Linked DNA regions of Ovis aries. The protein of the gene in region 1 interacts with the protein of each later gene in a pairwise test. Links are inferred from orthologs where the notes say so. Each region holds a gene or a part of one and is shown in the gene's direction. Other genes may lie near its edges. The genes, in order: LDLRAD1, VTI1B and PLN.

The links.
Region 2: the proteins of LDLRAD1 (region 1) and VTI1B interact in binary tests that used the Homo sapiens proteins (3 or more experiments, as listed by UniProt). The two-hybrid records come from large-scale screens. The link is inferred for Ovis aries from reciprocal best matches to the Homo sapiens genes LDLRAD1 and VTI1B.
Region 3: the proteins of LDLRAD1 (region 1) and PLN interact in binary tests that used the Homo sapiens proteins (3 or more experiments, as listed by UniProt). The link is inferred for Ovis aries from reciprocal best matches to the Homo sapiens genes LDLRAD1 and PLN.

What each region holds. Positions count from the first base shown.
Region 1 is NC_056054.1:28,543,869-28,549,206, reverse strand, and holds the start of LDLRAD1 (low-density lipoprotein receptor class A domain-containing protein 1), read left to right. Parts: upstream 1-2,503; 5' UTR 2,504-2,596; coding exon 2,597-2,617; intron 2,618-3,121; coding exon 3,122-3,176; intron 3,177-3,992; exon of another isoform or gene 3,993-5,338.
Region 2 is NC_056060.1:77,600,839-77,606,076, reverse strand, and holds the end of VTI1B (vesicle transport through interaction with t-SNAREs homolog 1B), read left to right. Parts: intron 1-556; coding exon 557-730; intron 731-2,512; coding exon 2,513-2,574; intron 2,575-3,779; coding exon 3,780-3,876; 3' UTR 3,877-4,111; downstream 4,112-5,238. Other genes in the region: ARG2 (arginase-2, mitochondrial), read right to left, coding at 4,339-4,544. UniProt on the Homo sapiens protein: V-SNARE that mediates vesicle transport pathways through interactions with t-SNAREs on the target membrane. These interactions are proposed to mediate aspects of the specificity of vesicle trafficking and to promote fusion of the lipid bilayers.
Region 3 is NC_056061.1:19,648,248-19,652,196, reverse strand, and holds part of PLN (cardiac phospholamban), read left to right. Parts: intron 1-1,959; 5' UTR 1,960-2,047; coding exon 2,048-2,206; 3' UTR 2,207-3,949. UniProt on the Homo sapiens protein: Reversibly inhibits the activity of ATP2A2/SERCA2 in cardiac sarcoplasmic reticulum by decreasing the apparent affinity of the ATPase for Ca(2+).

The sequences.
Region 1 (5,338 bases):
CAGTGATAGATGCTGAAGCAGGGACTGAGCCTCACCTCTAGGCAGGTCTGGAAGTCGATGTGACAGGTGCCTGGGTCAATCTAGTTGTGGTACCCACTTACTATTGACCAACCCTGAGCTGTGCCCTCAACTACAAAGCAGTCCCTCCCTCAAGCAGATCTCTTTGTAATTATAAACAAACCAAGCCATTCAGAAACAATATTGTACTCTCCCAGGGTGCAGAACACCTTCACGTACGTGCATGACTTCGTTCTAACCACAAAATTCTGAGGTAAGTATTCTTATCTCCATTCTTCAGATAAGGAAACAGAGAGGCTGTGACTTGCCGCCTTAAATTAGGTAGGTATTAATTTGGCAGAATCAGAATAAACACCCAGGTTTGTCTGACAAGCTGAGACTTGCTGAGCTTATGGGCAGAGGATCTCCACTAGCCATAGCCAGGGTCAGATGGAACCCTAGACCGTAAGGAGTATCATTTCAGTTCAGTTCAGTTGTTCAGTCGTATCCGACTCTTTGCGACCCCATGAATCGCAGCACGCCAGGCCTCCCTGTCCGTCACCATCTCCCGGAGTTCACTCAGACTCACGTCCATCGAGTTGGTGATGCCATCCAGCCATCTCATCCTCTGTTGTCCCCTTCTTCTCCTGCCCCCAATCCCTCCCAGCATCAGAGTCTTTCCCAATGAGTCAACTCTTCGCATGAGGTGGCCAAAGTACTGGAGTTTCAGCTTTAGCATCATTCCTTTCAAAGAAATCCCAGGGCTGATCTCCTTCAGAATGGACTGGTTGGATCTCCTTGCAGTCCAAGGAACTCTCAAGAGTCTTCTCCAACATCACAGTTTAAAAGCATCAATTCTTCGGTGCTCAGCCTTCTTCACAGTCCAACTCTCACATCCATACATGACCACAGGAAAAACCATAGCCTTGACTAGACAGAACTTAGTCAGCAAAGTGATGTCTCTGCTTTTGAATAGGGAAAGGCAAATCTGAGCAGGTGGGGAGAGTTGGAGAAGGCTTCATGGAATAAGATTCTTGCCTGGTTCTGGACAAGAAAGATGGATTTAGAAAGGTGGATGGAGCCAGCAGAAATCACTCTAAGCAAGTGACAAGCTACATACTGGGAGAGATGTGTTTGATCCATGCCATAAAGAATTCAAAGTCAACATAAACCCTAAGTCAATAAGAAAAAGATAAGTCACCTATAGAAAAATGGACAACAGATAGGAAAAAGCCTTTCACGAGGGAAGAAATCCACACAAGCAATATATATTTAAGAGGGCAACATTACAGCATGGGCTGGGGCAGGGCTTTTCAAACTGAATATGCATTTGAGCCTCCTAAAGCTCTTGTTAAAATGCAGGTTCTGGCTTTGTGGGCCTGGATGGGATTCCGTCTCTCACACATGATGAGGTCCTGCTGGTCCGAGGACCACACTTTTGAGAAGTGAGGAGATAGGTAGAGGTAATGTGTGAACTTCTCAGCCACCCACATCTATAACGCAGCTATGCCTCCTTTCAACTGTGAACCTTGGGCAAGTAACAATGTTTCTGTGCCTCAATTTCCTCATCTGTGAAATGGAGATGATAATAGTCTCCATCATTTGTGGTCAGGAGGACTAAGTGGGTTAACATATGTAACACCTGTAGTGCAGCATGTGACAAGACAAGCGTTCAGTACATGTTAGCAGTTGGTGGTGGCAATAGGAGTTACTAGAGAAACGCAAACTAAACCACAGTAAGATAGCATTTCACACCCACCAGAGGCGGATGGAGGTCAGAAAGTCTGACACTTTCAAGACTGAGGACACAGACACTCTTGTCACTGCTAATGGGGGTGCAAACTGGTACAGCCTCCTGGAAGAGTGGTTGGGTAGTATCTGGTGAAGTTGGGGGCCCCTGCAGTGTGATTCCAGATATATGTGTGTGTGTATTTCTAGAGAGTGTGTTGGGTGTTGAGTGGGGAGGACAAAGAGATCCATCTACGGGGGCACCGCCTTTCTTCAGGATGAGGGGAAAAGAAGTTTCAAGAGACAGATGAGAAAGCTGAAACTCAGGTTAAGTGACCTATCGTTTTAGTGGAAAACACATATTCTTTCCACATAGATTATGTGTTTCATTGAACAAATATCAATGAAAGCACGATCCCTGCTTTTTAGCCACTAGAACCTTAATTCTGGGTATTTCCGCCTGGATCTTCATGCAGCTGGGGGGGACCTGAGATCCTCCATCTCATCATCGATGTGGAGAAAAATCACACACTGAAAAATTTCTGGGTTCAGCTTCCCTCTCAACCCTGCACCATGTGACTCAAGGGCAGTTTCTCGCTCTCTGAACCTCAGACTCTTCTCTCACATAGAGAATTCTGGCGTTGGAGCGTGGCTGTCAGCCTGCAGAGAGGGAAGAGGCCAGGCCGGAGCAGGGCCCTCCTGCCCTCTCCTCTTCTCAGGAGGCAGCCTGGGAGGAGCCTGCCCACAGGGAGGGTGCGGCCAGGAAAGGCCTCCTGTCATTCCTTTTCCTAGCTGCCCTTGGTGACAGGCCGGGAACCTGGCAAGTTTTCTGCACTGCCAGGGCCGGAGACTGGAGCTGGGAGCCGGAGACATGAACAAGATCTCCCCCCAGGTAAGAGCTGCCCCGAGAAGGCTCCTGACCTGGGGGGCAGGGCGCGGGGCAAACCCCGGGATAAGGGTGGGCAGTAAAGAAGGGAGACACAGGTCCCCCACCGCCCCGGAGGCTCTCTACCACGTTGTAGGGAGATGCAACAGGTGAACCAGGTACATGGTTCAGGCAGTGAGAGCTGGGAGGGGACAGGAGGCCAGGGGAGGGAATGATCAACATTAAGGGGGGGCGCCTGGGGAGCTTCTCCAAGGGGGTACCCCCTGAGCTGGTTTGAAGGATGAATGTTTGCCAAATAGGCAGTGGAGGAAAAGGCTTTCCAGGCAAAGGGCACAGTACAGGCAAAAGTGTGGGAACATAAAGCAGACATGAGTGTGGGGCAGCCGAGTGGGAGGGCCAGTGTTTCCACCCAAGGCTCTTGTGAGGCTTCTGAAAAACTTTTCAGTCTAGCTGCCTGAGGCTGGACCTCCCCTCACCTCAGCCCACCCCACATTCTCTTCTCTTGGGCAGGGGGATGCCAATGGCAATGCTGCTGCTGGAAGCAAAGCCCTCCCTGGAGGGGAAGGTAAAGGCCGGGGGACCTGGGGCCAGCCCCTCCCCCACATGGGACTTCCTTGATGCTGGGCGGTTGCTATGGAGACACAAAAGCAGCTCCCTAAGGCTCTGTCTCTCAGACCTCTGCCCCATTGTTGATGTCATCCATTCCCAGTGTCCCAGCCATCTGTACTGATGGCCATTTGCTAAATGCATAAGCTCATGTGCTGCCCACCCCCACAGACATACACTGCCCCCCAAAACCCATAGAGGAAAGAGCTCTAGAGGCCAGTCCCTGACTCAGGGTGACCCAGGTGGGTCTCTACCTCTGAGGGATAAGGTGGGAGGGATCTCACATTTACTGAGCACCTGCTCTCAGCCACAGGCTCACCAAGTGACCAGGACAGTGTGCTTTACTTCTGTGGAATAAGAAGAAAAAAATACTTTTATTGAGCACCTACTATGTGTCCAATCTTGACTCTCACTTGACCACTGAGGGGAGAGACCCAGAGAGGTAGCTACTATTAATAACTATCAAGGATCAAGGCCCTACTGTGTGCCCAGCACCATGGGGCCTCTTCTACACCCAATGGTCAGCTCCGAGGGGGTCTCTTGTTCGGTGCAATAGCAGATGAGGCAGCTGAGGTGACGTGAGGTCGGGTGGTTCAGCCAAACTGGGATCCCGCACGGATGGGAGGCGTGAGGCAGGGTTCAAATTCAAATTAGGGTCCCTCGGCTTGCAGAGCCCCAGTATCTTTTTGCTACACAGTGGCATTCATTTATTTCAACCCTGCTTTATGAAGGACCTGGCATGGAATAATGGCCTCCTTTTCCCATCTGTCCCCAGGGGGATCAGCACTTAAGGGCTTTCAGGCTTTGAAGTGCAACCTTCACCTGGCCATGGACCCTGAGACGCTCCTGTGACCCCTCCTGCCCCACCTGTGCTGCGCAAATATTTGAGAAGCAGCTGCTTGGCTGACCGACCAGGACGCTTCTCCTTGCCAGCCTTCTCGCTGTCTCCCTGGTTACCTGAGTTTACAAGGGAGCCACTGACCAAGGCTGCAAGGAATGTGGGCTTTAGATTTATGCTGCGTCTCCTAATATTTCTCCCTTCCCAAGGTACCCCCACCCTGGGCTTCAGCCACACTTTCTGTCCCCCACATGCCATCAGGACCTCTACCCTCCTGGGCCCTCTACTTGGACTGCGCTCTCCTTGCACCTTCCCCTCACCCACCCGTGGAAATCCCATCCTCCTTCAAACACCCAGGACGCCCCATTCACCACCTTGGTCACCTGGCTGTGCGAGCTGCTGGGGTACAGGTACTGGTCTGCCTGATGGACCAGCACAGAGCAGGCTGCTCTGAAAATGTGAGTGGACTGTATGGAAGAGACCTGAACTGACTCGAACTGGGTTCTTCCCAAGGCACCTATCGTGTGCCTGCTGCTGGGCTGACCTCTGGGGACACATGCCCCTGCCCTTCCCTCAGAAAATAGTCCCCGGGGGACAGAGAAGCGCTCACGCTCTTGTTTTTGTGTCCAGACCTTGTCTTCTAAGTGAGACTGCAAGCTTTTGGAGGGCAAGGGTCAGAGATGTGCTTGCTTTTATGTCCTCTACAGAGCAGGGCACCTGGTGTTAGTCACTCAGTCATGTTCAGCTCTTTGCAACCCCATGGACTGTAACCTGCCAGGATCCTCCAGGCAGGAGTACTGGAGTGGGTTGCCATTTCCTTCTCCAGGGGATCTTCCCGACCCAGGGATTGAACCTGGGTCTCCCATGTTGCAGGCCATCTGAGCCACCAGGGAACTTAGAAGGTCCCCAATAAGATTTTCTTTCATTATTTCAAAAGCCAGAAAAAATTCAGGAGCAAAGTCAGTTAAAGGTGTCACTATCATTTCCAGATTGGCACATAGTAGACGCTCAATAAAGACAAATAGTAGCTAGAACCTTTATAGCACTTACTATGTACCAAGCCCTGTTCTGATCCAGTACCTAGCTCAATCCTCTCAACAATTCTAATGTAGGCATTGGAGCCCCATTTCCCACATGAGGAAAACAGGCACAGAGAAGTAAAGGGGCTTCTCAGTGTGGCCCAGCTGAAAAGTGGTGGAGCTGGGATTCCAACCAGCATCCTGGCAGGTTCCAGAAGGAACAATCACTGACACCATGGAAAGAGTGCCAATTTTGGCAGCAAA
Region 2 (5,238 bases), on another chromosome or scaffold:
TGTTTGGCCTGAGGCGAAATTCTTTGGATGCTTACCAAGAGTGTAGCTACTTTTTTCCAGAGAGGAGTAGTCTTTCACACTTTTAAGTGATTTCTGTGTGTGCTAAACACGAATAGCTTATTCTGTGGTCACTCAGTACCAATCAGTGGGAACTTTCAGTGAATTACACTATCTCTAAGGCGGTAGAGTTTAGTTGGTTTACCCTATCAAAATGATAGGATGTATGCATTTTCAGGTAGCTCCTGCATCCCAGATCTGGGCCATTGCCTCTCAGAAGTTGTTAGTCCAGGAAGCACATGAGTCAGTTCAGATTCATCAGGAGCACAAGGAAGATGCTCTGGTGTATTGAATCCTTTCCTTGCCTCACTTACATGTAACAAGCAGTGGACTGGGAGGTATTGTGATCCTAGATTGAACCCCAGGTTCTCTTGTAGTCTGATTCATTAGCATCTTTGATTGTCTTACAAGTAATGAAAATTACTACACATTATATCCCTTCTTATAAATTCATTTATAATGGAAGAAGTCTAACAATTCCCTTCCATACTCCTGTCAGAATCGGCTACAGTCTCAAAGGGCATTGCTTCTGCAAGGCACTGACAGCCTGAACCGGGCCACCCAGAGTATTGAGCGTTCTCATCGTATTGCCGCAGAGACTGACCAGATTGGCTCAGAAATCATAGAAGAGCTGGGGGAGCAACGTGACCAATTGGAACGTACCAAGAATAGAGTAAGTCTGGGTGGATAGGGAGAGGGGCAAAAATGGGGAAAGTAGGTGGGCCCATTACACCCTGATGCTGTCAGAAGCTACCACAGTTCCAAATTCAGGGTATGATTTTTTAGGTTCTTATGCTTTCTCTGTTCGTAATTTGCTTGACTAAAACATATCCCTTGGAAGTAATTTTACTTGTAAGATTTAGAGGTCATTGGGCAGGGGGAGTGAGATTGCATAAAACCCAGTTTCTGCATTTATTGAAGATTGTCAAATAGCATTGTAGCCATACCATCCTTTTATTAGGTCCTGTATTATGAACTAAATTTCTGTCTCTCACACGTCTAGTAGAACACCTGCTATTCTTATGAAAGCCAACATTTGCTTTAAAAGATTCTAGCTTTCCTGTCATTTAGAGCCAAAGCTATTTTCCACATGTCATAAAATAGTACTACCGACAATTTAAAGAGGTTTAATCCTGGACTCTTCTTAACCTAAGGTAAGGGAGATCATGGGCTTCCCTGATGGCTCAGTGGTAAAGAATGCGCCTGCAGTGTAGGAGACACAGGAGACAGAGGTTCGATCCCTGGGTCGGGAAGATCCCCTGGAGTAGGAAACAGCAACCCACTCCAGTATTCTTGCCTAGGAAGTCCCATGGACAGAGGACGTGGCGGGCTACAGTCCATGGGGTCACAGAGTCAGATATGACTGAGCAACTAACACCACTACTGCTACACACTAGGGGAGATCACTGTGAGAAAACAAAATCCTTAGGCCAAATGATGACTATATTGTGGCCTCTATCTACTATCACTCTAAGAGGCTCTGAAAAACAACTTATTTCTTCCTTTCTGTACCATCTGCAAAGGAATTTTAAAAACTGCCAATGGAATGCTGTGTTAAGAGCATGAGGCAGATAAACGAAACACAGATACTGTGGGCAAGACTTAGACATGAGAAGGTCGTCTCAAATCCCCACACTGAGCTGTTATTTTCCCACGTTAGTGGCCATAATTCTCCACTCTTAAAATCAAGTCAGGTATCACCCTCCTCAGTGAAAATTCACAGTAAAGTACTGAATTCAAGTAAGCTGCAGAGAAAGCAGCTTGTTTGCAGATTGCATGGTTTATTTGTTTTTACTTTTGAACTTACTAGATGGATTAGTTGAATTTAAAAGCTGAGGAATGAGCTGAGAGATCAACTTAACCAAGGCCACTGGTGAACAGGAACAGATGGCAGGTGGCATCTGTTGAAATATCCTCCAGCTATATAGGTTAGTAACAGGCAACAAAAAGGGGGAAAAAAAGGCTTTTAAAAAAAAGATTAATTCCTTTCATAATTCAATGTAAGTATCTCTTAAAAGGGTAAAGAAAAAAGGAAAAAGAACCAGATCTCAAAAGTGGTAATCCACCAGCCTATAAAAACAAACATTAACTCAGGAGGCTCTCCTGGAGTTTGGCTGATGAAATTCACATCTTAAGTTGCTCAGAGTTACTTCGGTTACTGGCAAGGTACACTTGAAGACTTTGTTTTGTGTAGCCACAGTGAAGGATTAGCTCAGTCCCAGAGGTCTCCTCACAGCAGCCTTGGGATACAATCATTCCTAGGCCTTATTGATAAGTATTAGAGTATCTTGTCCTTTCCAGTTTCTTCTATTTACAGAGGCCATCATTTAAATTGATTTGATTTCTGGGAGTTTTTCAACATAAACCCTTTAACACCCGTCAATTTACTCAGGTTCAGTTCTACAGTGTGTACTTCTGTAAGAAGAGGGAAATAATTGCTATTTTCTCTTCTCAGCTGGTAAATACAAGTGAAAACTTGAGCAAAAGTCGGAAGATTCTCCGCTCAATGTCCAGAAAGTAAGTTTTAAAAATTAGTCACAGAATTAATTTCTCTTAATTCTAATCTTTCGGCTGAGAATGTCAAAGCTTTAAACTGTGACTTGCAAAGGTACTGATAAAACAGAAGAAATAAAGAGTATCACATAGTTAAGTATCCCAGGAAAAAAATCCATTTTTGGAAGTATATATGCTGGTATGATTTGGAGCCATGGAAAACTGGTCTACTGGAAGGACTTTTTATCCTAGTTTACATTCCTTAAAGAAGAGAGCACATGGGAACAGAGCATTCCTGGAAATAAATTTGTAAAAACTTAATTAGAAAACTTTTCACTGCTATGGCTTCGTACTTGATTTTGGCTCTGCTTGCCCTTTATGGGAGTCAGCCCTTATTTGGGAGTTCTGTCTTGTTAGCAAGGAGCTGACTTGAGAAAAAACCGTCTAGGTAAGTGCTGACAGCAGCAGAGCCATGGGCAGAAGGGAAGTATTGGCACTGAGGCTGAATTTGGGGCGTGAGTCGGTGTAGGTAGTATGAATGAGACTATAACCAAGTTATGGAACTAGCAAGAGAATGAGATTTTCCAAAACAGTGGTAAGTTCCTTGTGGAGCAGGAAGAAATGTCCGATTTCGATTCTTTGTGTTAAAGAATATAGGAGTGTCAGAAAAATTTCTACCTTTATAGAGAAAGAAAGGCAAGAAGTTTGAGAAGACATTGAAAGGCATTCCCAGCTTCTAGTTACTCATCCTAAAGCAGGACCACCTCCTTGTACCCAAGCTGGACTTGGACCCTGGAGTCTCCCGCCACCCCTTCTCCTAATGTGTCCTCACAGCTGTAGATGTGTTAGGTAGTGAACTTCTACTTTGAAATCTGATTCAGCTGATTTAAAATATGGTATACTTTTTCACATGTACATTTAATATTTTTCTAATTAGCCCATCATAGAAAAAGTACTTTTAAAGTGAAGTACTAATTACTATTTGAAGACATTTTAGAAAAAAAACATTTGTATGTTTTGGTACCTTATTGCCCCATTTTTCAATATTTTTGTGAGGTAGATAGTAGTAATTATTTACAGGTTACTAAGTGGCTACATGATCAAACAAAAATTCAGTCTGCCTCACAGTATCCTGCCTTGGCCCTAGGTCAAACTCCTCAGTATTAAGAATGGAAAGAAATAAGGTTACCCAGAGTTCTGACTACATCCCACTTTGCTTCTCTTTGTAGAGTGACAACCAACAAGCTGCTACTTTCCATCGTCATCTTACTGGAGCTAGCCATTCTGGGAGGCCTGGTTTATTACAAATTCTTTCGCAGGCATTAAACCTCCTGTAGGGAAGGGTTTGTGGACCAGAACTGTCACTCAGTGAATGAATGGCGTTAGAGGTGTGGAAAAAAATCTTATTGCTGCTGTGAACTAGCGGTTCAAGAAGGCACTGTGTAGCCAGACTGTGGGTGGAGGGAGGAAGACGGAAGACCACTGAAATGTGAAGGAACAGTAATAAGACCAGTATGATATACCAAGGTAATAAATGTCCTTTATGACTTCTTTAAGTTTACACAGTGCTCCAACATATTAATACCCTGTGAGCGTCAAAAAACAAATACATGTACAGTACTATTATCGGTCACCAAAATGAAAGGGAAGGAAACTTTACAATTGTAAGAATGCACAAATGTTCTCATTAAGGCAGTATTGACCCAGATGATCATTCAGTTTCTGTCACCGCAAACGCCTCACGGCTCTGGAATGCCCACTGTGACATGTGTCAACAAACAGTATTCCCTAAATTCTTACACGTTCTTCACTCTCTGATTCATCTGGTGAGCTGGGAGTAGGAAGTTGGTCGTAGACAACATGCCCTCCCTCCCTCGTCTGCCCGAAACTCGAAGCAATGACATCCACTGCCAGGCTGGCTGTAGCCTTGGCCTCCTCTTCTGACACAGCCAACCGAGGATTGACTTCAACGAGATCCAGGGCCGAGAGCAACCCTGAAAACACAAAGCAGGACAAAAAGAAAACTTCCTAGCTGCTTCTTTCAGTGAGGGTCGTCCCACCTGGGTAGAACACACCAAGGTGAAAGGGTCATTTTCTACTAGAAAATTACCCACTGTCAGGAAGGCCCTTACACCTCATCCTCTTGGGCATGAATTTAAGTTAGAAACACTGGTAATGCCGGAGTAGGATTGAAAGAAACCTTTAAAGTAATTAAGTCAATTATCCCTGTTTAATAACATAACAGGCATGACTTGACAGGCTTTCTGGTTAGGATGAGCAAGGCCGGGGTGAGGGGTAAGCAGGGGTGGCAGTAGGAGTTTCCAGTCTAGTTGGGAAAATGTATCATTTCCAGTATTTCTAGGGACCTGCCAGATGCCTGCCTGTAGCTGTGTGATGAAATCTCTCACGTCTCACTAGCCAGCACTCTATTCCCACTTCTGAACTCTGGCGCTGTGTAACTTTTAAGGCACCATGTGTCCTAAAGTATAGCTGTTACTGCATATCTTACTCTCACCCCTGCAAGTTTGAACTCTGAGGACAGACTCCATGTATGACACAGTTCTTAGGTCTCCCTTCAGACTGATGCAGTATCTTGCACTTGGTCATATTTAGTTTGAACTCCAGTTACCTTCTGTAAGGGTCTGGGTACTTGTGCCAAAGGGTTTGAGGCGGGAAGATTAGAGCATA
Region 3 (3,949 bases), on another chromosome or scaffold:
CAGGAAGTCTAGCAGGGGGAACAGGCACGCAAATCAACATTATAGCACAGCCTGCTAGCCACATCTTGATACAGGCAGCACTAGAGCCCTACTAAAACCCAACGGAGGTGATAACCAATTCTGCCTTAATGAGTAATGGAAGGTTTCATTAGGAAGTGATATTTAAACTGGACCTTAAGGATTAACTGAAGTTTGCCTGGCAAAGAATCAAAGGTAGAGGCAGGGGGAGGGGAGACATTCCAGGCAGGGCCAGAAAAACATGTGCAAAAGACAATCATAAAAGGGAATGAAGTATTTATGGAAAGGTGACACGTTTCATGTGACTAAAGTACCGCTCCCCAGTGTTGGGGGAGGGGAGTGACTTCATGATGAACTGGCTTGCTCTTCCTTTTCCATGTTATATCTCACAATAACTTTAAAATTCAGGGCTTGTGCGCCATTTAAGTCCTAAAACTTCATAAAAATTAAGTTCAGACAGGAACTACCAATGCTGATTCTTTACAGTCTTCTAGGTTATACTCTGTTATGTAAAGAGACTAGTCAAGTTTACATAAAAAAGTAATAATCTTCTCCACAATTACCCACCAGTAGAAACCCACTACATCTATAATAAGCAAATATAAGCTGAAACAATTTAAAGAACTTTTTTCTTAAAGAAAAAAGAAAAAGCCTTTATTTCTTTATTTGGATCTCCTCACTACAGGCTAGTACTATGAAAACCGCAGGGTCTTCAGCCAATAGAGCCAAGCTGAAGTGCTGAAACTATACAGAATCCAACCAAACACTGTATATCATGTGGTGTCTTTGCAATAGTAAATGAGTTCTAACCTAATCTCAAGATCAGGCCTAAAGATCTGCTGTCTTTACCAGTCTCTCTTGCAAAATACAGCTAAAGACTGAGATGGGTCTTCATGAGATGTACAGCCACTAGGGAGAAAATGAAACCAGGCAGCTGGGCTAAGGCAGTAATATCTTGATCGGCAGAGATGTCAAGATATGTTAACAGTTATTATCTCTGGCAGTTAATTATGACTATTTTTAAATTTTCATTTCTAATTTTTCTTATTTCAAAATTTACATAGAAGTATCCTGATTGACAACAAATATTGCCAAACTATTACCTCTGGGCACTTAACTTACAACTAATTTTTAATCTACTGAATATACCTAATTTTCTACAATGATGTACTGTTTTAAGTTTTGTTTTATTAATCAGCACAGGTAATTGATCAGGCAGCAAATAATTAATTAATTAGGCAGAACAGCCTGTGGGAGCTCTGAAAGAAAGCAAATGCAAACACTGTTCTTAAGTATAGGCCCTTTGCAAATGGCAACTATGTGTGGTAGACAGTGAGACAATGATGATTTTATTACTATGCCATTTGAGTCTGGCAATCTTTAGTACTTAATATCATCCTGTTAAAATGCTACTTGAAGTAGTATATTTTACAAAGCTATAAAATCATCAAAACAAATGAGAAACATTTCAATCTACAGTTCTGGTAAAACACTTCTCATTGAACTATTTTATTTTGGAGTGAAGTCAACATCTGTAGAATAACTTATTGATGCATCTTCTTTTTATAAAGTTTGCTCTGGAGCTATTTATACACTGATGCTCAGAACAACTGTGCTCACAGAGAAAACAGTCTTAATGAAATAACACGTAAGAACTTTGGCCCAAGGGAATAGCCCAAGACAAGCTGCATCCTAACCAAATTATACTTCCAGTCATTTTGAGAGAAAGAGGACAAGACTGAAGTTACTATACCCCAAATATAAGATATCATGGTACCATCACCAAAAAAGACAGAGCCTGAGCAATACAGACTAGAGGTATTTGATGTCGTAAATACAAATTAGGTTGAGGAAGAGGGATGAACACAAAACAGTGTTTTACCTGTTCAGGGGATAGGTTACACCTACGATCCTAAACCATTTACTACTTTTACATTCCAGGCTACCTAAAAGAAGACGCACTTGGCTGGCAGCTTTTTACCTTTCTCTTGAGCGTTTGAAACTCCAGGCTCCCTGCCTTCCTGGTACCATGGATAAAGTCCAGTACCTCACTCGCTCTGCTATAAGAAGAGCTTCCACCATTGAAATGCCTCAACAAGCACGTCAAAACCTCCAGAACCTATTTATCAATTTCTGTCTCATCTTAATATGTCTCCTGCTGATCTGCATCATAGTGATGCTTCTCTGAAGTTCTGCTGCAACCTCCAGCGCTGCCACTTACCGCCATCAGCTTAAAATCTGTCATCCCATGAAGAAGGGGAAACAATACTATATAAGAGACCACTTCCTAAATAGAAGAATTTCTTTGTGAAAAGGTCGAGATTTGGAACAGAGCAAATTGTTAGCAAACGTATTCATCTGCTGGATGTTGTAAACATAAGAAGGGCTTTATTTTCAAAAATTAACTTTAAAGTGACTATAATGTAAGTGTGCATAATGTAACTGTTAATTTTCTAAACAGACCTTAAGCTTCTATCCCAAATCTTTCCTAAGGATGAACTAGGAGTTTAGTTTTGAAACTGCACTGCTAATAAGCTCACTTCATATATAAAGCATCAGCTTCACTCTTTGGGATAAATATAATTTATATTGTACTGTAAAAGCCTCTTGGATGATTTATTGAGTATTTTTCAGGTCCTCACCAAGTATACCAAAATAATCATTCAAATGAAATATCATTTGAAATAGCCCTTGTTTATCATCATACAGAAGTCTCCATAGTAACTCTATCAGACCCTACACTCTAAAACAGAAATTATACTTTTTCTATAATACCCTAACATTTTAAGTTTATAAGAATTGAGTAAAATCAAGCAAGACCATACCCTTAGACAGATAAAACAACTAATTTTCTCAAAGAATTACAGAATTTTAATATGTGCAGGTAAACCATAAATCTGTTCTCACCAGGACTTTATGATCAATAGACAAGAACTGTTGGTTAATTTAACATCTGACAGTATGATTAGCCATAATTACTAACACACTAACAGAATAGAACCTAATCTTCATTTAAAGCACTATAGCTAATTACCTGAGTCAGAGCACATAACTTGCCACTGGAATCATAAAATTTTAAGATTAGAATGATTTTACAGGTTGTCTTCTATTTTAATCTCACACTCATTGTAGGCAAGCAAAATAAGAAAAAAATATTACTTCAAGCATTAGAAAAAAAAAATTTAACTCTTTCTCCAAAATCAACAAATTCTTAAATTTTACAGTAAAATTTTTATCCCACTACTGTTCATGATAGGGTATAGCTATTTTCCTTAATCTATCAACCAGGTGGTAAACACCTAAGTGGTAGGCCACTCTACTACACTAACCAGCAATACTAATCTACAATGATTTTCTTGCTGAATACATTTCAAGTTTCTCTTCATTTAAAAATATCTTCCAACTACTGATAGAACAATAGAAGTAAAAATTGGTCATTTAAAAATATCTTCAAACAACTCATAAAACAGAAGCAAAAACTGGTTTGGAAAATATATTCACCAAAATGTGGTACATTGACTTAGTTTAAAATTAAGTCTAAAACAGTTTACACCTATATTACATAATTCAACAGTTTTTACTACAGTTAAAGACATACTACCAACATAGTAATTATTAAAGGAGTAGATAAGGAATATGTAATTTACTATAAAATTTGCCAAAATATGGTTAAAAAAAAAATTGGAAAAGTCAATCTTGACTATGGCTCGTAACACAAATGCTACTAACAAAATAGTGAAAGAAATATTACTGCTTTTTTAAAATCCCTGAGAGGTACTGGAGATAGAAAGGGGGATAATGTTGCTTCACTGATACCTGAGAACAGAGGTTTCATACTGAGAGGGATTGCTTAAGCGAAGTCTCATCTATGGATTGGATATCCCTAATATCAACCAGAAGAGCTTATAAACAAGAAGTAATTAATGCATTC